Linked DNA regions of Neurospora crassa OR74A. The protein of the gene in region 1 purifies or fractionates together with the protein of each later gene. This does not show direct contact. Links are inferred from orthologs where the notes say so. Each region holds a gene or a part of one and is shown in the gene's direction. Other genes may lie near its edges.

What was found. The genes of interacting proteins can lie anywhere in the genome.
Region 2: the proteins of NCU06047 (region 1) and NCU00225 purify together in Saccharomyces cerevisiae (affinity purification with mass spectrometry; 3 studies listed by BioGRID). This does not show direct contact. The link is inferred for Neurospora crassa OR74A from reciprocal best matches to the Saccharomyces cerevisiae genes RPS2 and STM1.
Region 3: the proteins of NCU06047 (region 1) and stk-52 purify together in Saccharomyces cerevisiae (affinity purification with mass spectrometry; 3 studies listed by BioGRID). This does not show direct contact. The link is inferred for Neurospora crassa OR74A from reciprocal best matches to the Saccharomyces cerevisiae genes RPS2 and RIO1.

Annotation. Positions count from the first base shown.
Region 1 is NC_026507.1:1,981,383-1,989,190, forward strand, and holds NCU06047 (40S ribosomal protein S2), read left to right. Parts: upstream 1-2,941; 5' UTR 2,942-3,104; coding exon 3,105-3,380; intron 3,381-3,529; coding exon 3,530-3,787; intron 3,788-3,849; coding exon 3,850-4,113; 3' UTR 4,114-4,843; downstream 4,844-7,808. Other genes in the region: NCU06049 (DNA damage response protein RcaA), read right to left, coding at 1-140, 206-357, 416-495, 547-606, 737-767; NCU06048 (40S ribosomal protein S30), read left to right, coding at 1,699-1,732, 1,798-1,931, 1,996-2,019; NCU06046 (hypothetical protein), read right to left, coding at 5,413-5,991; NCU06045 (hypothetical protein), read left to right, coding at 6,758-6,846, 7,273-7,808. UniProt on the Saccharomyces cerevisiae protein: Component of the ribosome, a large ribonucleoprotein complex responsible for the synthesis of proteins in the cell.
Region 2 is NC_026503.1:3,073,943-3,081,983, forward strand, and holds NCU00225 (hypothetical protein), read left to right. Parts: upstream 1-2,626; 5' UTR 2,627-2,784; coding exon 2,785-2,802; intron 2,803-3,111; coding exon 3,112-3,130; intron 3,131-3,263; coding exon 3,264-3,422; intron 3,423-3,484; coding exon 3,485-3,650; intron 3,651-3,711; coding exon 3,712-4,306; 3' UTR 4,307-5,086; downstream 5,087-8,041. Other genes in the region: NCU00226 (MFS transporter), read right to left, coding at 6,280-7,705, 7,764-8,041. UniProt on the Saccharomyces cerevisiae protein: Ribosome preservation factor that protect a small pool of nontranslating, vacant ribosomes in cells under nutrient starvation conditions.
Region 3 is NC_026503.1:5,212,857-5,220,711, reverse strand, and holds stk-52 (serine/threonine-protein kinase RIO1), read left to right. Parts: upstream 1-2,440; 5' UTR 2,441-2,686; intron 2,687-2,818; 5' UTR 2,819-2,831; coding exon 2,832-4,463; 3' UTR 4,464-4,950; downstream 4,951-7,855. UniProt on the Saccharomyces cerevisiae protein: Required for the final endonucleolytic cleavage at site D converting 20S pre-rRNA into the mature 18S rRNA. Required for the final steps of cytoplasmic maturation of the 40S ribosomal subunit.

The DNA of each region.
Region 1 (7,808 bases):
CGTGGGTGGTGAGCTGTTCGTAAGTACCTATGTACTTGATGTCAAGCTGCTCGAGGTTGTCACGTAGCGTCTGCCATGAACCAGCCTCGATTTCCTTCTTGGTAAAAGAGAAGCTGAGAACAACAGGACGCCATACGATGCTGAAGCAAACCGGTGAGTTCAGGTCAGGTAACACCATGGTTCGTTTGTATAGGGTTATACATACCGAAGTTGATGTGGACAGGCACCCAATATAAGCTCGTTGGTTGGTTCGGTGAGGACGACTTTCTGTCCACGTATTTGAGTCCCGTTCAAGAGGGTGCCCTTTTTCGAATTTTTATCCTCAATGGTGATTTTGGAGCGTGCGAGTATGTTGCCCTGAAGAAGCTTTATCAGCCGAGGCAATTCAGAACATTCCCTGCCCGAGGAAACCTACACCATCGCCGTCCACAACATCAGCGACATGAATGCAAATATGATTCCGTGAGATTGTCTTGTCAGAAATGACAAAATCGGCTAAAAGGCCAGTCAGTGGCTGTTTTCATGCTCATGCTGAGGAAGCCATACTGTTTTCCGCAGTCCTACCAAAAAGGTACTGCCTGCCCGGTCGCAGCCATTTTCTTCCGTCTGGCTTCCTCGTTCGGGGTCAGCGATCTCTTCCCACGAAGTTTCTTGATCTGATATGGATGGCATCACGGCAGCGCGTCGACGCGACCGCCAATTCATGTAGCACAGTAGCACACAGGACAAAACCCACCTTCGAAGACGTCACTTTCGAGAAGCCACATATTCTCAACAATCCCAACTGGAATAAACTGGAGGTAGGAATTGACAGTGCGGACTTTGAGGTGGAGATTGATGGGTTGAGATGACGCGATGGCCGATCGCGCGCAAGTATTGGTGTTACGCGGTCACTCTTCGTTTAACTAACTAGGTACGTGGGGTATTAACGTTGCGCGGCGTAAGCGTCGTGTTGGATGGATGCCGGGGACTTGTCTGTCGCGGAAGGAGCGCGCTCGCACGTGAACACTCTAGAGTTTAGACTGTAATTGAACTTGCCTGTTTGGGTCGTTCCAAAACTTCTAGTGTACAGTACTAATTCCGTCCAGTCTCGAGCCTCGAGGCTCCTCCGGGCCGGTTGAGGTGGTTGCCTTTTGCTGGCAGCAAATCCTTTGCGAGGGGTGTACGAGGAAGTTGAACTATGATTACGGGCATTTATACCTATGCATTAGTCGTTTTTTTGTTGAATAATACATATCGGCTTTTTGCCAGTCTTTCGCATGGGATTCTGATTTCACCTCTTTCGCCGTTGGTAGTGTAATCGAGACGGTGCTTTCCCTGCATGCTGAGGCCCCACTGTTTAACATTGGTGGTTGCAGGCGTTTCTTTCTCGTGTCGCCAGGGGGCAATTCTCTTGGCAATCCCCCCGGAGCCCACTGCAGTGGAAGACTACCAGTACCGCTACACAACACTAGTCTACGTAGCGGTTGGCTCCCGACTGCCCTTTTCGGGACGATAAAACAGACGGGAGTCATCGGTGAATGTTTGACACGGCCGAATATCTTACCTGCCAGATACAGGTATAAAACATCCCGAGTCCCTTCCTCACATCATTCTAAACCCTTGTATTGTCCCCCTTTCGGCCCATTCGCCGTCCAATACTCACCCAAAAACAGTCACAAAAAGCCACTCACCACCACTCCATCACTACCATTAAAAATGGGCAAAGTTCACGGTTCCCTTGCTCGTGCCGGTAAGTTGCAGTTTTTGATGCCATTTCGCCACACCTTCATCACCAAAACTCACACCCATCTTCAGGCAAGGTCAAGTCTCAGACTCCCAAGGTTGAGCCCCAGGAAAAGCCCAAGACTCCCAAGGGCCGTGCTCACAAGCGCGAAATCTACACTCGCCGTTTCGTGAACGTTGTCACCGGTCCTGGCGGCAAGCGCAAGGTAGGAGGGCTCACTCACGCTTTGCTTCCAGGTCGCAGTTGTGCTGACATATCATCGAATCCAGATGAACGCCAACCCCTCTGCTTGAAGGGCTTATCTTTTGGAATGTTGCTCATTCGCAAATAAGCAAGCAAGCATCTCATGGCGTCTCTAGGCGTTTACTGATTCTACCTACGAGGGAAATGGTCATGGCCATGGGCATATCGGGAACGCAGGAGCATGTGTTGGACTTGGGTACTCAGTTCATCCTCTACTATAGGCTAGGTTTCCGGTGCAAAGGCGTTTTGATGGAATCTGATGATGCCCCCTTCTTCCAGCTAGGTACAATAGGAAAATCGATTTGCCCTTTGGGCACTTATTCAGAAAACGGCTCTCTTCTTGATCATATCAGCGTGTGATCCCTGGAAGAGGAACGTGCAATACCAGGTCGTTCTGTGTGAGTTGGATGCCTCTATGAGTCTATGGAGACCGACAGACTGGAGGCACATGTCGCAACTAAGAGACGAACACCTCCACTGAACCATCTGATGATGCGACAAGGTAATGTGCATTTGCAAATGGATGTTGATATCGGGTGTTCACTGGGAATCTGTAGCGACAGTGAGGAACTCCGCAACAACTATCGACAAAATTGAAAGATTTGTTGACACGAGTCCGATACTGAAATCTCCACGCGTTGGTAATGACAAGAGTGAGAACCCCGATGGCCTACAGAGGGAGGGATGGACTTCAATGATCGCAGTGGGGCTTCAATTTGCCCATGACGGGTTGAAACTGCCCCGGCATTCAAGGTTCACGATTGCAAGTTCGCGGCGGGACTGACGGTGCGACGGCCAGCCCTGTAGGTAGCTACAGCAAGCAGTTGGGCTGAGAAGCAGACAGCCTGGTCCGTGCACACTCATTGTCCATGCCAAGCCTGACAGCTGTAACCCCAAATCTACCCCACCTTTCGGCTGCCAGGCGGGACAAAACCCGCGGATAGCCAATGAGGTGGGCGTTAGGGTTGGTGCCAAAGGCGGAGCGCACCAGCAAAATCCAGAAATCGCAGCGAAAAGCTGCGACCCCCACCAGGCGCCCGAGAAAAACGTCGAGTATCTGCACTCCTCAACCAGTCCACGACGACGACCAGCAACAGACCCTCCGTCTCCGATACCCTACCGGCAAACCGACATAATGGCTGATCGTGGAACTTCTGGCCCCCGTGGCGGCGGCTTCGCTTCCCGTGGCGATCGTGGTGGTGACCGCGGCCGTGGCCGTGGTGGACGTGGCCGTGGCCGTCGCGGCGGCAAGTCCGAGGAGAAGGAGTGGCAGCCCGTCACCAAGCTTGGCCGTCTCGTGAAGGCCGGCAAGATCAAGAGCATGGAGGAGATCTACCTCCACTCTCTCCCCATCAAGGAGTACCAGATCGTCGACTTCTTCCTCCCCAAGCTCAAGGATGAGGTCATGAAGGTGCGCAGCAACGAATTCTTTGATGCCCGGAGGATGAGGTTGAGGAGGGGGAGGAGCGAGAATCGCAGGATTCGCGACGACATTGGGGGGAACTGTGCTTGAAACCCCACGAAACTGCATGCTGATATTGTTGTTTTCTCCCTCTGCAGATCAAGCCCGTCCAGAAGCAGACCCGTGCCGGTCAGCGTACCCGCTTCAAGGCCATCGTCATCATCGGTGACTCCGAGGGCCACGTCGGTCTCGGTATCAAGACCTCCAAGGAAGTCGCTACTGCTATCCGCGCTGCCATCATCATCGCCAAGCTCAGCGTCATCCCCGTCCGTCGCGGTTACTGGGGCGCCAACCTCGGTCTCCCCCACTCCCTCCCCGTCAAGGAGTCTGGCAAGTGCGGTTCCGTCACCGTCCGCGTAAGTTATACCCAGAATTTGACCCGAGAAGCTGGAACTGGCGCTGACTGCGATCCTCATAGCTTATCCCCGCTCCCCGTGGTACCTCCCTCGTTGCCTCCCCCGCCGTCAAGCGTCTTCTCCAGCTCGCCGGTATCGAGGATGCTTACACCTCCTCTTCCGGCTCTACCAAGACCCTTGAGAACACTCTCAAGGCTACTTTCGCCGCTGTTTCCAACACCTATGGCTTCCTTACCCCCAACTTGTGGAAGGAGACCAAGTTGACCCGCTCTCCTCTTGAGGAGTTCGCCGACACCCTCCGTGAGGGCAAGCGTTACGCCAACTAAGCGACTGGTTGAAAGTTGTTTTCAGCTAGCGAGGATGGAAGGATTCTTTCGGGCGTCTGTGGTTATTTGATTGCATGGGCTCCGGGAATGGAATAGATGAAGGCTGTTGTCCCAAATACCTAGTGCGATCGGCCTGAGTCCCAAAATTGATGAAATGACCAACAACGACAAAGCCCCCATTCGAATAGCGAATCAACGTGAATGTTATGGATGGTAGCGTTGTGGGACAATGTGTTCCATGCGGTCAAGGGTCGTCGCTGCTCATACTACGGACAGCTGTTTATTTGGTTTGCGAGCTTAACATGCTGTATGGTTCGCGGTTGCTAACAGCTCAGCAGACACGGTTCACACAGAAATCACGTACAAGAGACCAAGCTTGGAGTGGTAGGTAGCCTTCCACTTAAGTTGCTTTCTATACTGGAAATGGCCTGTCCGAGAGGCAGCGCGGTAGGAAGGGACTCGTGACTTGACCTTGAGATACCATCTAGGTAGTCACTCGTGACTGTTCCTCGAGGGGTCGGTTGGTCTTGCCCCTTTCCCATGATGGCGGTTGTGCAGGAGTTGACTGGGAAAGAGCAATCGCTTCTCCGGCTTGACAAAAGAGCATCATCTTTCTCAATCCCCAATTGATGTTTTTTTTTCTACTCTTCTCCATGTTCTCTTCCATCACCAATACTCTGCTAGGCCGAGCACCGTTCGTTTCCCTCTTTTTTTTTTTGGACCACGGGTTTTGGACTTGTGAGTTTTGGAACCGCTTTGGCCTTCTGCCCTTGGAAGTGTATCAACTACCTACACAACTGGCCTCTTTTCCTTTTTCTTTCTTTCGGGTAGACACAGTCGTTTTCTGGCTACCATGCCGTCCGCTGGTCGTTACCTGCTACCCCTACTCCTTCTTCCCATCAGCCTCGCTTCCAACCATGTCTCGGACAGCAAGGAGACAGGAACAACCCCGGCCCTTCGACATGTCCACCGCCAGGTAGAAAATGGTGAGCCTCAGGAGCCCAAGTCAGACGAATTGGGTGCCCCTGGCCTGATAATCGATCCTGATATTTTGTCTTTAGTGCTCAATCCTCCAGCCCAAACTACTCTTTTGGTTACAACAAGTACTGGTAGTGCCGCAACCCCACTCGAATCGAACTCGGCGGTCATCGGGGGTCTCATCTCGTTGCTCAACACCATCTTGGGTTCACTGACGACCAGTCTTTCTAACATCGGTACGACAATGGTCAGCCCGAACGCTACGCTTCCTACAGATGTCGCTTCTCTCGTATCCCTCATCCCGGCTTTGGAGAGTGTTCTTCAGCCCGGAGCACAGCAGGCCACCACTATGTCGGCGGAAGGTACCTTGCCACCCATTATACCAGTACCGGGCCCGACCTCTTCGGGCCAACCGGCGTTCCTTAGCCCAGGATTGTCACTTCCGCTTTCATTCCCCGTACCAACCAACGTGAACCCAACACCCGGGGTAGTTTCTAACTCAAGTGCCATTTTGCGAACCGCAGCGGTTCCGACATCTGACATCCCGCTCCTCATGTCTGAGATCACGCCCTTGATTCCCCTGTTGAGTACAGACCTGCCATCAGTCCTACCGCTCTTGCAGTCGTTCCAGTCGATGGTCAGCTCAGAACTTCCGGTTTCGATTTCGGAACTCCAGTCGCTCTCAGCAATTGTCGTGTCGGAGATGGCTTCCCTTCCCCTGCCGGCAACTCTCACAGCGCTGCTTTCATCTGAGCTAGCTTCTGTTCCTGTGTCTGTACCGACAGTTCCGCTTCCAACGCCAGACATTGCCTCGATCTTGAGTGCCATCGTACCAAGTGTTCCTCTACGAACAGCTAGCATTCCGCTCCTTAATTCGGAGACAACACCACTGATGCCCATGTTGAGCACGAACATACCGTCGGCTCTACTACTCCTAGAGTCCCTACAATCGATTCTTGGCTCAGAAGTGTCGGTTCCTGTGGCCGATGTTGCTTCCTTAACAGCAGTGCTTGCCTCGGAAGTGCCATCTCTCACCCAGGCGGTCGTGTCAGAAGCTACGCTCTTGACGTCAGAATTGCCGACCATTACCCTAAATCTCTCTTCGACTACCATTCAGGTATCGATCCCGACAAGCCTTTTGTTGAAGCTCTCTGACATATCACTTCCCACTGCTGTACCCCTTTCTCAATTTGCGAAGTCACTCTCAAGCGTTGCGGGTCCGTCAAATATTGCGTTAGCCAGCAACGTTGTTGGCGTTGTAGCATCGGTGTTGGCCAGCATGGTTTCAAATACCCCAATGGACAGTTTGATCAGTCAAGTCACGGTGGCCGCGGGTTCAGCCTCTTCCGAGACTGTTGGTGTACTGTGCTCACGGTTGATGTTGGTAGGCGACTCTGTCATTCCGGTGTCCGTCCCGTGCAGCTCAATCCAAACAACGTCGCCCTTTATCAACGGACCAAGCTCGACAACTCCTATCACTGGTCCAGCATTGGAAAATGCTTCAACAGTCCAAGCCCCAGCGTCTGTGTCTGCAGTCTTTGTGAGCGCTTCAGGACAGCCAACCAGCGACTCTGTGTTCCAGATAAGCAGTTATTCAGGTCCAACTTGTACTTTGAGACGCGGAGCTTCAAACAGTCTCTTACCTCAGGCAGGGGGAGCAGGGCAGATGATATCCGTTATCTCCACCAGCACACAAACTATCACGGTTACGTCCGTGGAGCTTAGCATCATTGCTACCTGTCTCGGTGGCACACCGTAAGTGCTGCTGCTATGTGCGACCATTGGTTTCTCTGCTAATAGTGGTACTAGAACCTCGATGCTCACTTGTCCCTCTCTGCCTGCGTGTCCTTCATGTTTCACGGGTCTTCCTTGCCTATCCGATGATAGCGGCTCTTCTTCAGGTAGTACTTTTGGGTCCGGAACCAACCCTGAAGAAGCCAACAATGCAGGTAGGCTGAGCAGCAACGGGTCTGGGGGCGTCTCTGGCTCCCGAGGCCTTCTCGGATATGGAGACAATTCTGGAGTTACCTCATTATCGTCTTACGGTCCCGGTTCAGGTCCATGTCCTGGTCAGGGTTACCTTTGCAACGACTGTATCAATGGATGGTTCTGTCCACCGCCTCTCACTCCTGCGCTGCCGGCCCCCTGTGGGCACGGATGGCCATGCTATCACTGCTCTAGCGGGTGGTTTTGTATCCCGTTGTCAACTACTACTCCCGAGAGCGTTACTGTAAACCTGTCCACAGTGGCCACTTCTGGAAATGCCCCTGTTGGAGGCGCTGTCGTGGAAATCACCATTACTTCAACACAATCCTTGACTGTGTTTGAGACTGCCGCTGCAGCCGAAACCTTACATCCTGCCACAGCAGGCTGGCATTATGGGGGGTGCTACAAAGATGATACGGCTCGAGCACTACAGAACGAATCGATTACGGCTACGGTGGTCGGTGGCATGACGACGGAGATTTGCATTATATATTGCAAAACCCTTGGGTACCGCTTGGCTGGTACGGAAGCCGGCTACATGTGCTTCTGCGGAGACAAAGTAGTTGATTCCTGGCGGATTGCTGAGTCGGACTGCGGCATTCCTTGTGAGGGAGAACCTGAGTTTATATGCGGCGGAAACCTCGCTCTGAGTATTTGGAGTATTACTGGCCACGTTCCCAAGGCTCCGGGGCCTGAGATGAACTTTACATTGCCAACATTAAGTCCAGGTC
Region 2 (8,041 bases), on another chromosome or scaffold:
GATGCTTGGGGAAGACTCTGGAAGGTTAAATCAACCCGAAGGCGGGCAGATTTATTTGAACTCATTTCGAATTCTGGTGGACAGGTTGCAGGGCAAGCCGAATGCAGGATGAGTCACACCCAAAGGAACCGTCGATCTCGTTGCCAAATGACAAGCTACCTGCTGTTGGACGACTCTCAAAGTCGGGCACAGCTCTCTCAACACTCTACTGACCAGCTAAATCATTCCTCTTTGGGAACTTCGTTTGTGTAGCTCCATGTAGAGCCGAGCGTTATTTAGACAAGAGAGATATTCTTTGAAGTCCTCTTTCCAGGCAATCTGGAGCAAATCGTGACAAGTATGTGGGCTCAGCTCGAAATTCTTGACCTTGCGCTCACAACGGACGTTGCGAGCATACTGCAAGTGAGTATCGTGAAACTTGGTGAGCTGTTCGTTGTCGGCGGAGGTGTCGAAAATGGGAGTGTCCTTCAAGCTCTTCTTTCTTTTTGCTGCTTCGTAGAGCCTGCGGCCTCAATACAGTGTGACATCTTTTCGAGATTTCAGCCATAGTGCTTGTAGGCGCAAAGTGTCCTACTTCTATGCTTTGTTTGTCGAGACCTCCACATTTGCTGGTTTGAGCGGTTGACATGTGGCTTTTGTATACATATTTGCCTGGTAATAAATAGACTTCTTGTCTTCCCGTGAACTAACACTCGTATCAAGCAAGACCTGGGAGGTACACGTTAATGAGGTGGGTTTGATTGCAACTTCTACCGACCGGGTTCTCTCCTATTACCCAAAGCCTGAGCTGTGGCTTTCGCTCACAGATGATGTACTGGCGTGTTTGATACAGTGGACAGAAGTATAACGTTAGAAGTGCTTCATAACAGCCTCCTCAAACATCCCTTGCCGATATCCAAGAGTAGGTGCATAATGTGGCTCAAACCTAAAGATGAATGATCGACAAACTCCTGAAGACAGATTTCGTGACCAGAACGACTTCTACCGTCAACGACTCATGTGGCTGCCCCGGTGTTTCAGAGTGTTGTGGACTTTGCATAGCCTCAGAGCTAAATATCAGCTCAAATGAAGCAAATCTGTCATGCCAAACAATGGCGACCAGGCTAGATAATGCTTCTCATCCAGTACATGCCCAACTTTCTCTGGCAACGCCGTGGAGACATTCTTAGTTGTCAAGAAACACAGAGACACACTGTTTGATACAACGCCTGTAAGTTGACTTCAAACAATCTGCCATGACTAACACGAAAGACTCGATGTTGGGTGAAAAGCAAGACACGAGAAATGCAGTAGAATCTTGAAAAGGCAGATGAAAAGGAGAGAAAGGAATTGCAGAGCTACACAACAAAGAAGGAAGTCGACTTGCATATTGATCATGATGAAATGGCTCTCCGCGACTTGTTATCCGTACAATAACTGGATTAGTTGATACCGATATCTCAGGTTAACTAACCTACAACAAAGAGACATTTGCTGATGGCTATCTTCCATTCTCGATGCGAGGACAGGACTCTAATGTGGTAAAGGTTATGTATTTTGCAGATGTATGTCCATCTCCGCCTCGAAGGGCCACGAGGAAGTAAACAAGTGTGTTAAAAAGGGGAGCTTCAATTCATGAATTCAACATCCATTGGCAACTGCTTCGACTGGCGAACGGTACTCGTCCTAATATAGTTGCTGTTTGAGCTTCGTCGCCACAGCGTCCACTCTCTGCCATGACTGTCAGATGCAAACCAACGGGTGAGTCCATCCAGAACCACACTTGTGGAAACGCATGCAGAGCCGCTGTGATTTGAGGGTGATGCGGTTCAACAGACACGTAGAACCTATACAACTTCCAACACTGTTCTACATCATGGCATATGGCAGACTTTCCAGAGAAGTCTTGAATGAAAGGAAGTAAGATAGAAGTAGGGGTTGGAAAAAAAAAACAGAAAGAAAAAGAAAAAAAAAGGTGAAAGGTCCACGCTGCATATCAAACTGCTCAAGTGGTCCGTGATGACCTCTCCAATGTGGCCGTGATCAAGCACCTGTTGGCAAGCCGTCAAGCACAGCAACCAAGGTAATACTTCCCCAAGAAAGACATGACGTCCGGTGTCTAAAAGCACGACGGCAATGCGTGCCTTTTTGGCATGAAGTCCGTTGACAGGAAGTCCGGGGTGCTTGAGGCAGGTCCGATCTCATAGAAGGCTGTCACCTCAGCAGGAATGCGTCAACTTGGCATATAAAGCGGCAGCTTCCGTCAGGTGTTTGTGACGGATGTGTTTCCAGTGGTTTGTTTACCTTGGTGACGATGATGTCTATGGTCGTGAGTGGTTGTCGTCGCAGCTGCAAACACTCTGCCAAGACTTGCCGGATTGGGAGCAGAGCTCAAACAGGCAAAGTTACGGCGTGTACGGATCGATACGCACGTCACATTGGTAACAAAGGGCAGGCAGCGTGCAAAGTGGTAGCCCTAACCACCAATAACAGCGGCGCACTGAAATTTCACCAAAAAGCCAAAACGGCAGTCAAAGTTGGAAGCGGGGAACAGCGGCAAAGAGGGCCAGAGCAGGGCCTTGGAGGGGAGATTTGGTGCAGGTGGGCGGGGCACGAGCGTCTCTGTGATCCGTGCCACTGCCAAAACCTGGTCCGAGCTCCCTGTGGCCCGGGAGCGATTTGCCAAAATCTTTTACGACACCACAGCGAGCATCAGACGTCGTTGTCGCTGTCGTCCGCCCCCCCTACCCAACCCCGTCTAGAAGAAGCGCATTGAGTCAGGCCAACGTCCTGTCAAGCGCAAAGATGTCGGTCGCTTCCAAGGTGTGTTTATCTCTCTCCCCGTCAATCTCCGAAATGGCCGGTTTCACGGTCGGCCGAGAGCTGCATGCTGTGCAGCGGATATGGATGACCCCGTGGTTGGACCTCGCCGTGAAATGAAACTGAGAGCTTCATTTTTGTTTCCGAGCGAGTCCGCCAACACCGGCTCCTTGCGACAATTTGGGATCCGAAAGAGGAGGGAGGCTTGGAGAATGGGGATCCAGACGCACAGCGAGCAGCAGCCGGCCATACCGCGAAAATCTAGAGCTCAAGACAGCAAGAAACTAACCGATTGCGATTCTTTTTCTACAGAACCTGTTCGATCTGCTCGGTTGGTTGCCCACCCTCCTGTGAATTACGGAACCCACGCGACGGCACACTCGAAATTGGCAGGGCGAGGAGGAACATTGAACACCGCAATCCAAGGAACCACCAATACTGACGGATCGATTGTTTTCATTCAGGCAACGACGTGGAGGATAACACCGCTCCCGCCGCCCCTGCTAAGATCGTCGAGAAGACCTCGACCCACACCACCAAGCGCAACTCCGATGGCGTCGCTCCCAGCAAGGCCCCCGCTCAGGGCTCTGGCCGTCGCTCTAACTTGACCGGCAACGAGGCCGGTATGTTGATCATCCAACATGCTAACCATGGCTACCCTCTCAACTGACATTTTCGGTCCCAGCTTTCCGCGACCGCAACGCCGGCAGCGACCGCAACCGTGGCAAGCCCACTGAGGAGGGTGCTGCTCGTGGTCCCCGCGGCGGCGCTAACGCCCGCGTCCGCGGTGGTCGCGGTGGCCGTCACCCCCGTAACACCTCGGATGACCGCCACTCTAAGTCCATCCCCTCGTATGTTCCGGTCAAGCAATTTCTAGCCACAGGCACCTCCGTCCACTAACACCCTGACTAGCGGATCCGAGAAGCAGGCTGCCCTTTCCTGGGGCGCCACCGAGGGCCAGGCCGAGCTGAAGGATGAGCAGGCCGCCGAGGAGATCGCCAAGACTGAGCAGAAGGAGGCCACCACCGAGGGTGAGGCCGCCGCTGAGGCTATCCCCGAGGAGGAGGAGGAGAAGCACGTCTCCTACTCTGAGTACCTTGCCCAGCTCGCCGAGAAGAAGGCCGCTCTCGAGGCCGAGGCCGCCCTCAAGGTCCGCAAGGCCAACGAGGGTGTCGTTGAGGACAAGAAGTGGGCCAACGCCAAGCCCCTCAAGAAGGATGAGACCGAGGAGTTCATTGCTGGCTCCGCCGGCAAGAAGCAGCGCGAGCGTGAGCGCAAGGTCAAGCAGGTCCTCGAGATCGACCAGCGTTTCGTCGAGCCCGAGCGTCCCGCTCGTGGTGGTGCCCGCGGTGGCCGCGGTGGTCCCCGTGGTGACGCCGGCCGTGGCCGTGGCGCTCCCCGTGGTGCTGCCCGTGGTGCTGCCCGTGGCGGTGCTCCCCGCGCCGAGAACAAGGCTGCTCCCATCAACCCCAACGATGAGTCTGCCTTCCCCAGCCTCGGCAACTAAATGCCTCTCAATATCGGCATAACGACCATACATCGAAGCCAGACTATTCAGTCACACGGCCCCCCCTTTATTTTCTCTTCGAGGCGGCAATGTCAGAATCAGGATGGCGGCGGGTTGGGATAAAAAAAGCAGCCAGCATGGGGTCGGTGTTCGTCTGTTTGGTTGCATTCACCTTTAGCGGAAAAGTGGTTCATGAACACCGGAACCGTGAAAGAGGTTTTCCTTATCTGTCCACCACTTACCGCGGAATCGAACAAAGTAAAACTGTTCAAGCTCGAAAGTTGAAATTGCGCGCGTTCGTATGACCTGGTTCCTCCCCGTATCTATCCCCTTTCCTTCCATGCATGAACGTTATACCTAGGATATATTTCACTTTTTACCCGGTTCAAACCGCAGACAAAGGATGGGATGGCAACCATCCAGAGGGCAAAAAGACACACACGCTATAGTCTAGGTGGCACTATGACATAGCTCGACCATGGCAAGGTCGTAAGAATGGACATAAGACAGGCTTGTTTTGGATTAACACCCAATATGGCATCTGGCAAAAGGCATCAGGCAGAGCAGCAATATCAAAACAAGTGTTTTGGATTCCTCTGGCAAAGGCACAACAAGCTGACACTGATCCGTGACTTGTACTCAACACTGTGTTGGCTGTTTAAGTGCACTTTTCGATGTCTCACTGGACAAGTGAAGTTCTTGCTGCACCGTGATCTTGAACTGACTGGTCGCCATAGGCACATAATAAGATGGAAAATCACTGACGATGATATTGACACACAAGTACTTGTAGTAGACCTTTTCATTTCCATTTCAAACTCCGAACTCGGCGGTTCTTACTAACCACCCCTTCACTATGACCTAGGTCCAGGTAAACAGACCACTCTTTTGTGTCCCTTTCTTGTCTTGTGCAAAACACCCTCTCCATCACAACCCCATGATTACTTATCCATATCACAGCCGCCATACCATACAAGACATGACCTGATGTACATTTCACTTCCATGACAACACTAGCGATATCTACCTTCAATCTTACAACCTTTCTCTCTCTCCATCCTCTCCAAGTTACATTCTCAACCTCGAGGTTCCCTCCCTCATCCTCATATGCTTCGAAGATGTGACACTGCCGGAGAACTCCAGTCATCCTGGCTTTCATATCTCAGACAAGCCAGAATCTGTGGAAACTTATGGTAGACTCTATGCTCGGTCCGACTTTGCACATCATCTAAGTAAGTGGTGATACATACAATCCATTTGCAAGAGACCTAGTGACGAAGTCTCCTGTTGCTTTCTCACCTCACGATGGATGATTCTAGATCCTTGAATACAACTCTGACAATCTGCATCAAGTTACATGCGCGCATCTGCATGCATGATGCTTTATGTCGGTGGTAATGCGCACAAACCCTACCGACAAGCTCTACAGAGTACTTGCTTGCACAACAAGCCCTACTTGTAGGTACTGCCAGGTGCGTACCTGAAAACCGAAGAACCCGAGTTTCCCGAGTATGGGATTATTCGGTCCGCATCAGACCGAGGGCTGGAATGTCGTCTTCAGTTCCCTGGAATAGATTCTGGTAGTTGGGTCGGTGAGAGTCCACGGAGCATGTCGTGTCACTCTATATTATGTCTTTCCTTGTCTATTGTCTTTTTTTTTTTTTTTTTTTCTCCAGGAATGTGTGTTGCGAACTTGGGGAGTGGAAGGTTTGGTTCTCGGGAGATGCTAGTTTCATACGAAGATGGGAAAAGATGGTTGGATGCAGAAACTAGAGAGTGAATCACCATGTCTTTGGAAGAGTAGCAGTACTCGATCACCGCTTCAACAGCGCCCATGCAACAGTACACATTTCCTTAAGCATGCACGATTCATATTCTCTGCAAAATTCATACATCATAACATCATCAACGACTTCCACCCTCCCCCTATCCTCGCCCATCTGGATCACACAACCTTACAACCGCCAAAACACTCAAAAGCCACTCGGCACCTGATGCCCATAGATCACTACTCCCCCCCTCTTCCTCTTAAACCCAAACCTTCCCGCATCAATCCCCAGACTGACCACCAACCAAACCACATTGAACCCAGCCATCATATAGAACGGCGTCCCCGTGCTCCACTCATCGAACCCATACCCGCCCGCCTTTGTCAGCAACAAGATGGCCGCACCTCCGCACCACGAGTAGACTCCCGCCACGGACCCCTTCAGCCTTACTCTCGACACCGTATCCTCCGGCAAAGCTCCCGGATTTTCTAAAAGGGGTGCCGTCTCGTTCCGGCTATCAGCTGGTTCAGTCACAGTAGCTACTTCGCTGTCCCTGTCGACGCGGTGCGGATGCGTGATGACGTTGACTACGTCCACCTTCAGCACACCTCGTCCTAGCGAGCCCAAGCTGCAGACGATGGCGCCAATTTGGCTGATGCCGATAAGTGCAGCGAGGAAGAAGACGACAGGGCTGCCGCCCCGCCCATCCTTGTCTTTGTACTCGGGGCTTTTAAGCTGGGGGAAGGCAATGTAGCCGGCGATGCCAAAGGTGGTGGCCACAATGATAGGGTAGTTGAGTCTATTCTGTTTGGTGAACTTGCGGCTAGAGAGGTAGCCGAAAAGAGGAGCGCAGAGGAGACCCATTAGTTGGGCGACGCCCGTGAGGATAGACGAGAGGATGTAAGCCTGGCGGCATTCCTTTTTCAGCTCTGGGGAAGGGTCGTTGGGCGAGCCTTGGCAGAAGCCGTTGCGGATGAAGAAGGCGTTGATGAAGAGGGGCATGAAGAGCGAGATGGCGACGGTGGAGGCACGGGCGACGAAGCCGCCTAGGTAGCCGAGGGCGATGTCGGAGTCGGTGAGGCCGAGCCGGATCGAGTCGCGGAGGAGGTGTAGGTAGGGATAGACTTGTTTGGATGAGTAGGGGGCCGAGTGGTCGTCGGTTCGGCGCTTGAGTCCGAAGAGGGTCCGGAATCCTTTGCCTTCTTCACCCTTGATGCCGCGGAGACCGAAGAAGACGAAGATGGCGACGAGGAAGGAGACGAGGCCGACGACGTAGTAACTGTACTGGACGGCTTGACCAACAGTGACGCCTTTGATGTGTCCAAACCTTGCCGGTAGAGGGAGGAAGAGCGAAAGAGCGAGGAGGGCACCGCACCCTGTGAAGAGCCCTACGTAGCCGGCCAACGCGGACGGCTTCCCACGTCCTTCGGGTTTCCCTTGGGTGCCATCAAATCTGAAGCCAGCTTCGGAGGTGCTGTGATCGCGGAACCGATCAGGGGTAATGGTAACCTCTGAAGCCACTGACGGTGTTATGCTATGCCTTGGGTTTAGAGGGGGGTTCTCGACAACATCTGTTTGCGCCTGGGTCTCGTCGGACAACGAAGGGAGGATTGCCGTGACCATGGTCGCCCTTTGTCACCAATGATGATTAGCTTTTGTCGTGGAACGCCGTGCTGAACATTACTTACGCAGCGGTAGCTCCAACAGCAAAGAGAATCCTCGCCAATAGCAACTGCGGGTACACATTCGTTGCTTGAACAAACACCAGCAGCGAGAGTCCAATAATCGCATAGCCGGTGACGGCAACATGTCTTACCCCGACACGATCAGACACCAGACCCCAGAAAGGGCAGGCGATCAAGGCGACAATTTCATCAACGAAGCCGAGAGTGCCGACAATGTCACCGACGCCATGCTTGACGCCGATCAAGTCGGTGATGACAAAGGAGACGCTGCTGTTGAGGAA
Region 3 (7,855 bases), on another chromosome or scaffold:
AATATATAAATATCCCCCTAATTCCACCACTACGATCTCTTCCACCAGATAGCCCATCAACCAAGCAACCAAGCGAAGGCGAAGATAGACCAACCTTAAACTTAGGTACAAAAAGAAACCACCAGGACACCCAAACCACAAGCAGTGAGCTAGCATCACAATAATCTAAACCAACCTCCCAGACAAAAAGCACTAAGACCCATACCATAGGAAAGCACACAAGTCCAAATGTGCAGATACGGCATTGAATACAGGTTCTGCCGCAACGGCGATCGGTGCCGGGGTGGCAAAGGCCTATTCCAGGGGACCGTTCGCCGCTACAACTATTATACGCAAAGACACAACATGCGGAACTGCAACAGTAGAGGCTGTCGAGGCAATCTTCAGCATGATTCGTGGCTGGATCGTTGGGTTGAGGTTGGGGAGTGTGATATATGCAATCGAGATTGGTTCTTGCAGCCTTGAATGGTAGGTACCTACTTACCTCTACCTCATTATTTGGGTCCTCTTCTCTATAATCTTAAAGGCTCACATCGCCGCTAGTTTACCTCTAGGTACCGTGCAGGGAATTCAGTATGAAAAGGAGGGACCGTGGAAAAGGAGGAATCATGGAAAGGGAGGGATCGTGAAAAAGGTTAAGACCTAACCAGGAAGTGGGAAGGTAAAGGTCAGGGGCAGGTAAAATAGAAGGAACAGGCAATGCCAGGTAACTACCTGCCTAAATCAAGTTCAAACTTGGAAGTCGTTTCTCACCCAACAGGTGAAATTGCTATCGAAACACTACAAGAATACCTCAGACGTTTTTATGATCCCTGACTCTTGTTGACGAGTGGACGATTTGTCACGGTAACGAGCTTATTCCATCCTTTGGTTACCTTAGAGAATCCGAGGCACTGATTCAACCCTCCGCTAAGGACACACCTTGCTCTTCCCTAAAATTACCTATGTAGAATCCCTAGGTACGCGCTCGCCTTCCCGTTTCCATTTTATGCCTTTTCTGACTTTTGGAAAAGGACAACCCTAGCGGAAACGCTGAACCAGATTCCAACATGGCAGAAGAGGACCCTAATGTCACACAATGAAAGCGCCGGAAATTTGGGGATATCGTGCGGGTATGTTTCGGGAGTATATCTGCGTGAAGGGAAGGACACCGATGAATGGAACAAGGTGGGAAATTTTGAGGGGCAGGAAGGGGGGATATTTGAGAGTTGAGGCTCGGAGGGAATAAAGAAGCGAATGTTCGACATGAAATGGGGCAGAGCATCAAAGCAATCTATGGAAACTCCGAGCATAAAACAAAGTTTCCGAATAGATCTCTAAGGCCCCGGGTGACCTTGACCCAAATGACTAAATATCCCCCTAGCAACCTCATCGCCATTACTGTTCCCATACCAATCATGCTGCGGCCGAGCAAAGGGGACACAGCTCATCAATCCGTCTTGAAACGAATAAGTCAGTCATCAACACCCGCTTGCGGGTTGGGCAGTCGCTGCTACTGGCATAGCAGTAAACCCGTCTTCTAGTGCGCTCGAACCATCGTCGGTACAGCTGCCCTTGCTCGTTGACCCAGCCATAGCCGGCTGGACAATCGGCGCCATTACGGCAAAAGTGATGTTCCATGTAGGAGTGGCACATGGTGAGTGAAGTTGTGAGCCCGTTTAGGCAAGGCTGGAATCCCGATGGGGGTTGCCGGAATAAAATAAAAAGGGAATTGGGAGACGCGCCTACCTATTGGATGTTGGAAACTGTGGCCCTGTGCTATTATATGCTCCGTGTTGACATCAAGTTGCGGCTCACACATGATGTAAATATGTTCATTCCTGAACTCGGGTGGTCGATGACCCATTATCCGTTTGTTGACGTGGGAGTCATCAACGACCATGAATCGAATCATCTAAACGCGTCATGTCAATGTATGCCTGCAGGATGAGGTGGAAGCAGGCCAGAAGGTCGTGATGGGTTTACTTTGATTGCAAGTCTCCATCGTTTCCATTGATGAGACGCAAATATCCAGAGGTCATATACCAGATTTGACCGTGAGTAAAATGGAATGTAAGAAGGATGATGTTAGGTTTCCCTGTAATTACCCGGGACCATGGTGTCCATTGCTAGCTTGATGACTTTGGGGATCGGCCTATGCCCCATGGGTGGAGAATTGGCTTTTGGGTGGTCGCCCCTTTTGAGCACTAACAGCTGGGTTCTGTCCAACAGGGAAGCGTACACTGGGTGCTGTTAGTGCTGTTGGCGTTGATTGAGTCACCGGCAGAAGTAGGTGTGTTCCGCACCGTGTTGAGATGTCGAAGATGCAAACCAAAGCTCAAGGAATGAATGTGGAAGTGGAATGAATCAGAATGATAGCGTCAGCATCATCGCCTAGCGTACTAACTATTAGGCGACAAGCTCACTCCAGTGGCAAACTGGTCGCCATCGGTGCAGGGGTGCAATGTCTGTACTCGGAGAGGCAAGAAAAGATGTTATGAATGCTGAAGCCTAAAGTGAGCCGAAGACTACTTAACAAGCAGCCATATCATGTGGAACGGAAACATCCAAGAACATCTTCAGTTCCATTCCAATCCGTCTTCGAGTCGAGTCGTCGTCAAGAACTCGATACTCACGGATTACCCTAACCCTGAATCTCGAAAACAGCCCTACCACTGGAAGACACCCCGCATTACGATAAGATAAGGTAAGCTCGCCCCACCAAGAAAATTGCCAGTGGACGGGAAGTGGAAGTTCGCAAGTTCCATGACGATTTCCATTTCGTCTGCCATCCTGTCTCATCACCACCTGCTGATATCGGCGGAACTGACGAAAGCAGACTCGGCAGCAAGATGGCGTCCCAACCAGAACTCACGTCGACCACAGCGGCGACCGACAACCAGAATGTCGACCTCAGCAACACCACCGCCCAGCTCAACAACCTTGCGATCGAAGAGGAAGACGACGACGACGACCTCCAAGATGTCTTTGAATCCGACGATGACCTCGACTACGAAGATGGCGGCACCGACCTGACCAAGTCGTACAACCGCCAACAACATGGCGCCGGTGCTACCAACTCTCAGCAGTCCCAAGCTCAGGCCCAGCAACAAAAACCCACAGCCAACACGTCGGCCCGCGTCGACGACCAGATCGCCGCCCTCTCCAAGTTCGCCGGAAAGATCCGCATCGACGCCTTCGACAATGCCTCCGGTCCCGCCGAGCGCAGCAAAGACAAGTCCGATCGCGCCACCTCCGAACTCGTCCTCGACCAGCGCACGCGCATGATCCTGCTGCAGATGATCAACCAGGGCTTTGTCTCCGAGATTCACGGCGCCATCAGCACGGGCAAGGAAGCCAACGTCTACGGTGCCATACTCCACCCCGAGGATGGCTCGGCCCCCATACACAAGGCCATCAAGATCTACAAGACGGCCATTCTGGTGTTCAAGGATCGCGAGAAGTACATTACTGGTGAACACCGCTTCAAGAGCGGCAGTGAAAAGGGAAACAACAGGAAGATGGTCAAGCTCTGGGCCGAAAAGGAATTCAGAAACCTGCGCCGTTTGTACACAGCCGGCATCCCCTGCCCGGAGCCCATCAAGCTCAAGCTGCACGTGCTCGTCATGAGCTTCTTGGGAGATCGCAAGGGCTGGGCCTACCCCCGTTTGCGCGACGCTCCCATCTCGGGCGACGACGCCGATGAACAATGGCGCGACCTCTACATCCAACTCCTCGGCCTCATGCGCAAGCTGTACCAAGTCTGCCGCCTCGTCCACGCCGATCTGTCGGAATACAACATCCTCTACAACAACAAGAAGCTCTACATCATTGATGTTTCCCAATCCGTCGAGCACGACCATCCCCACTCGCTCGAGTTCCTGCGTATGGATATCAAGAACGTCGGCGATTTCTTCAGGAGGAAGGGTGTCGACACGCTCTCAGACCGCACGATTTTCGATTTCATCGTCAACCCCAAGGGACCGGCCGAGGAACCCGGTATGAAGGAGACGGTCGAACAGCTGTACCAGACGAGGGTGGAGGTGGAGGATACCGCGGAGGCCAGGGCCGAGCAGGAGGTCGACAATGAGGTTTTCAGAAACCAGTACATCCCCAAGACGCTGAACGAGGTTTACGATATCGAGAAGGATGTCGCCAAGGTAAACGAGGGTCAAGGAGAGGATTTGGTATACAAGAACCTGTTGGCGGATCAAGTGGTGCACAAGACGGCGGAGGATCAGGAAGAGGAGGAGTCTGATGAGGAGGAGGAGGGCAGTGGTGACGAAGAGGAGGGTAGTGATGACGAGGATGACGAGAGCCGATTCGAAAAGGGAACACCAAGAGGCAAGAGGTTCATCGACAAGGACGAAAAGAAGCAGCACAAGGCGGCGGTTAAGGAGGCCAAGAGGGAGAAGAGGAAAGAGAAGATACCCAAGGCGATGAAGAAGAAGTTGGTGAACAGCACGTCGAGGAGGAAGCACTAAGCTGTGGTCGTCTACAAGTATCAGCTTTTCTTGGTTTCTTTCTCTTGTCTTGTTTGCTAATGGGCTCGGGTATGGCTTCTATGGCGCTAAAAGAATAATGGATCATGTCATCTTCCAGCCTGCGTATCCTGCTTTGATGCGTTTGGCGTTTCTCTCTCATACCTCACCCCATCCCGTTTGATCTGGCTACACTTTTGGCCATCATCCCTTGCGACACAGACGCAGCAAGTAAAGCAACCGGATGATGAAAGCAGTAAAGCCTGCCTGAGATTGTCGTCTCCTCAAACGAGCTTGTAATGGTTTTGCCTGTTTTCAGGGCGAAGCCTCCTGCTTTCGAGTAGAGACACTTTCTCAGAAGGCAGGTCTGAGTCGCTGGCGAGCCACCTAAAGAGTGGTCAAGCCGGGCTATGACGACCAAAGAGAGCACTGACGGTCTGCTCCCATACTGGGCGCCTATTAATCCCATGGAGATTCCAGTAGTCTCCTGTTGCCTTTAATATGTACTTATAAAGAGGAAGATGCCTCTACTATACGCTCCCCATTCCCCTTTCTTTATTTCTCCTTTTTTTTATCCCCTCAGTAGATGTTTCCAGTGGTGATATATTTTGAGAGGGCCGGAGTTGCGCTGTGGCGGGAGGGACCTTTCAGGAACGTCGGAGCTTCTTACTTTCAGTGGATGAAAGTAAAAGGCTTCTTTACATATCTTTCGAGATTGACGGCCAACCTCATAGCCAACTTCAGTTTTTGCGTCAACCTGGTAAGCGTTTCTGGAAGGGGTGCGTTTACTCGTGGATGTGATCTGAGCCTTAAAAGAAGAAAAAGATCAGCTCGCCCATGCTCGGAATCGAACTCGGGATGAGTCAACTCTGGACGGGCACGGGTTAAACCTACGAAAATACCGCGCATTTTCTGGACCCAGTGCACTACCACGTAGACTATTGGGCCGTGTTTGAAGGTCCGATTCTTCGGGCTAATATGGTCTCGGACGGTAGACGGAAGGAGGGTCCTGTCGCTGAGAAAGCCGGGGCCGTACTGGGGCCCTGGGGTTCCGGATGGCCCAAGCTCCCGTTCCGGCCTGGCACTGACCCGACAACGGCAGCTCTGGTTTCACCCAGGAGCTGTATTTGTTTCATCTTTCTTTTCAGTGCTCCTATCATACTTAGGCTTTCCATTGTCGTTTTGATCACTTCTTATCTTTCCATCATTTATACCTAGAGGTAGTTCACCATCAACCTCAACATCAGCATCATCCAGCCTGACCATCACCGTTGGGACACCCGATTCATCCACGTCTCGCTAACAGCAAAGCGCCAAGCCGCCAATCCAACCAACCCCTGAAATCTGGACACTTCAGTTCAACCAACCATGATACGGCAGTATGAACGCCCAACTGTATTTTTCCCCACCTGCCACCTGGGAGCTCAGATACTCGCACCCCGCACTTTCCGTTTGTACGCCCAGTACTTATACTTGCGCTTGTATCCTACAAGCTTCAACCTTACATTCGCATATTGCATTCAACTTCCTCTTTTGCGCATTATCAACTACTCTTACATCGCAATCACGCTACACTCACAACAAAATAAGCGAAAATACTACGGCTACACCTAACTAGAACTTCCTATACGAGGATTTTATTTATAATAATATACCGCGCAAAACGCTGCTTACTAAGTACGAATCCGAATTAAATAATAATAAAGTTACTAATTTCCTTATCGAACAAGTCCGAACCTATAAATTTAATAACGCTATAGCTATTCTTTAGTAATACTATAAGAATATTCTTAGTCGCGACGTAATTGTAGGTACTTCCCTTACAATTAGTTGAAATCTTATTCAATTAAAACTAATTTCACTCGAAGGAACTACGTCGCTTCTAAATTAAAAAGGCAATTTTCACCGGCGGTATTAAATTACTTATCTAACTTCGTTATAATAATATAAATTGTACTTCTACTATTATATATTATTTTTTTATAATCCCCTAACGCAATACCGAACCTTATAGTAAATATAATAATTCTCGTAGTTTCGGCCCTATTAATATCTATTTCGTCCCTTACGGAAATTTTTTGAAGGGAGCCTATACTAATTATATATACCAAAGTCGTAGTAAGGACTATACGTACTATAAAGGTACGTTAGGGAATAATTTGAGAACGAGTAATAATAGTGTATTAATTATATAATAGTAAGGGAGGAATTGGATAGGGTGGAGATGAGAAAGAAGATGGGCGAGTTCTAGGGTTTAATGGATAGTTAGGTAAAGGAGGCGCTTAACGTTAAGTTAATTAGAGTTTTGAAGGTGGTTAACATAGAGTTAGAGTCTTGTAAGTAATTAAGTTAGTATAGTTTTATTAGTTTAGGTTTAAAGTTTATAATTATCTATTAATATACTTTGTATTACGTTATTAAATTCTTTTTATACTACTTTATATAAAGTAATAAGTAAAAGAATATTCTAATTTTTTTTTTAAAAAAAAAAATAAGTTTTAATATTTTACTTCTTTTTAAAAAAAATTATTAGAATAACTTTTACTATTATAATTTTAATACTGCAATTAAAATTCAAATATTTAATACTTCCTATATTTTAATAAATTTTATTTAATTATATTAAATAAACCTTTTTATAAAGTATTTATATTCTTTATTATATATTTACTATATTTAATAAAATGAAGTATAATTAAATATTTTTAATAAGATTCTAATTTTTCTTTTTCTTTAAATAAATATATTGGAATTTCTAATATTATTATATATAAAGTATTTAAGGTAGAATTAACTATATAATATTAAGGAATATTAAAAAATAAATATATATTATTATTATATATTACTTCTTTTTTAAACTCATGTTTTTATTATATATACTTTATAATTATATAAATATAAAGGCTAATATATATTTATAGTAATAGAAAATAAAGTAAAAGGTAATATTAAAAAAAAGAAATAAAAGGTAATATTAAAGAAAAAGGTATTTTAAACTTATTTATATTTTAGATTTATATTAAATAAATAAGTAATATTATAAATTATTAAATACTTTAAATAATACATTTTAAAATCTTTTATTTTAATTTTTTATTATATATTCTAGAAATTTCTAGGAAAATAATTAAAATAAAAGTTTTTATATTATATTTATACTATAATATATATAATATACATCTATATATATATAGAGAGATACTCTATTATATATAAGAAATTATTTACTACTTTTTATATTTATAATTCTATTATATAGAAAAAAAGTAACAAAGTCTTCTCTATCTCTCCTTAACCTTCCATTCTTATATTAAGAAAAAGTTTCCCTTACTCTCCAAACAATCCTCATCTTTCAATATCAAGACTCAATTCTATCTATTTATTATAATACC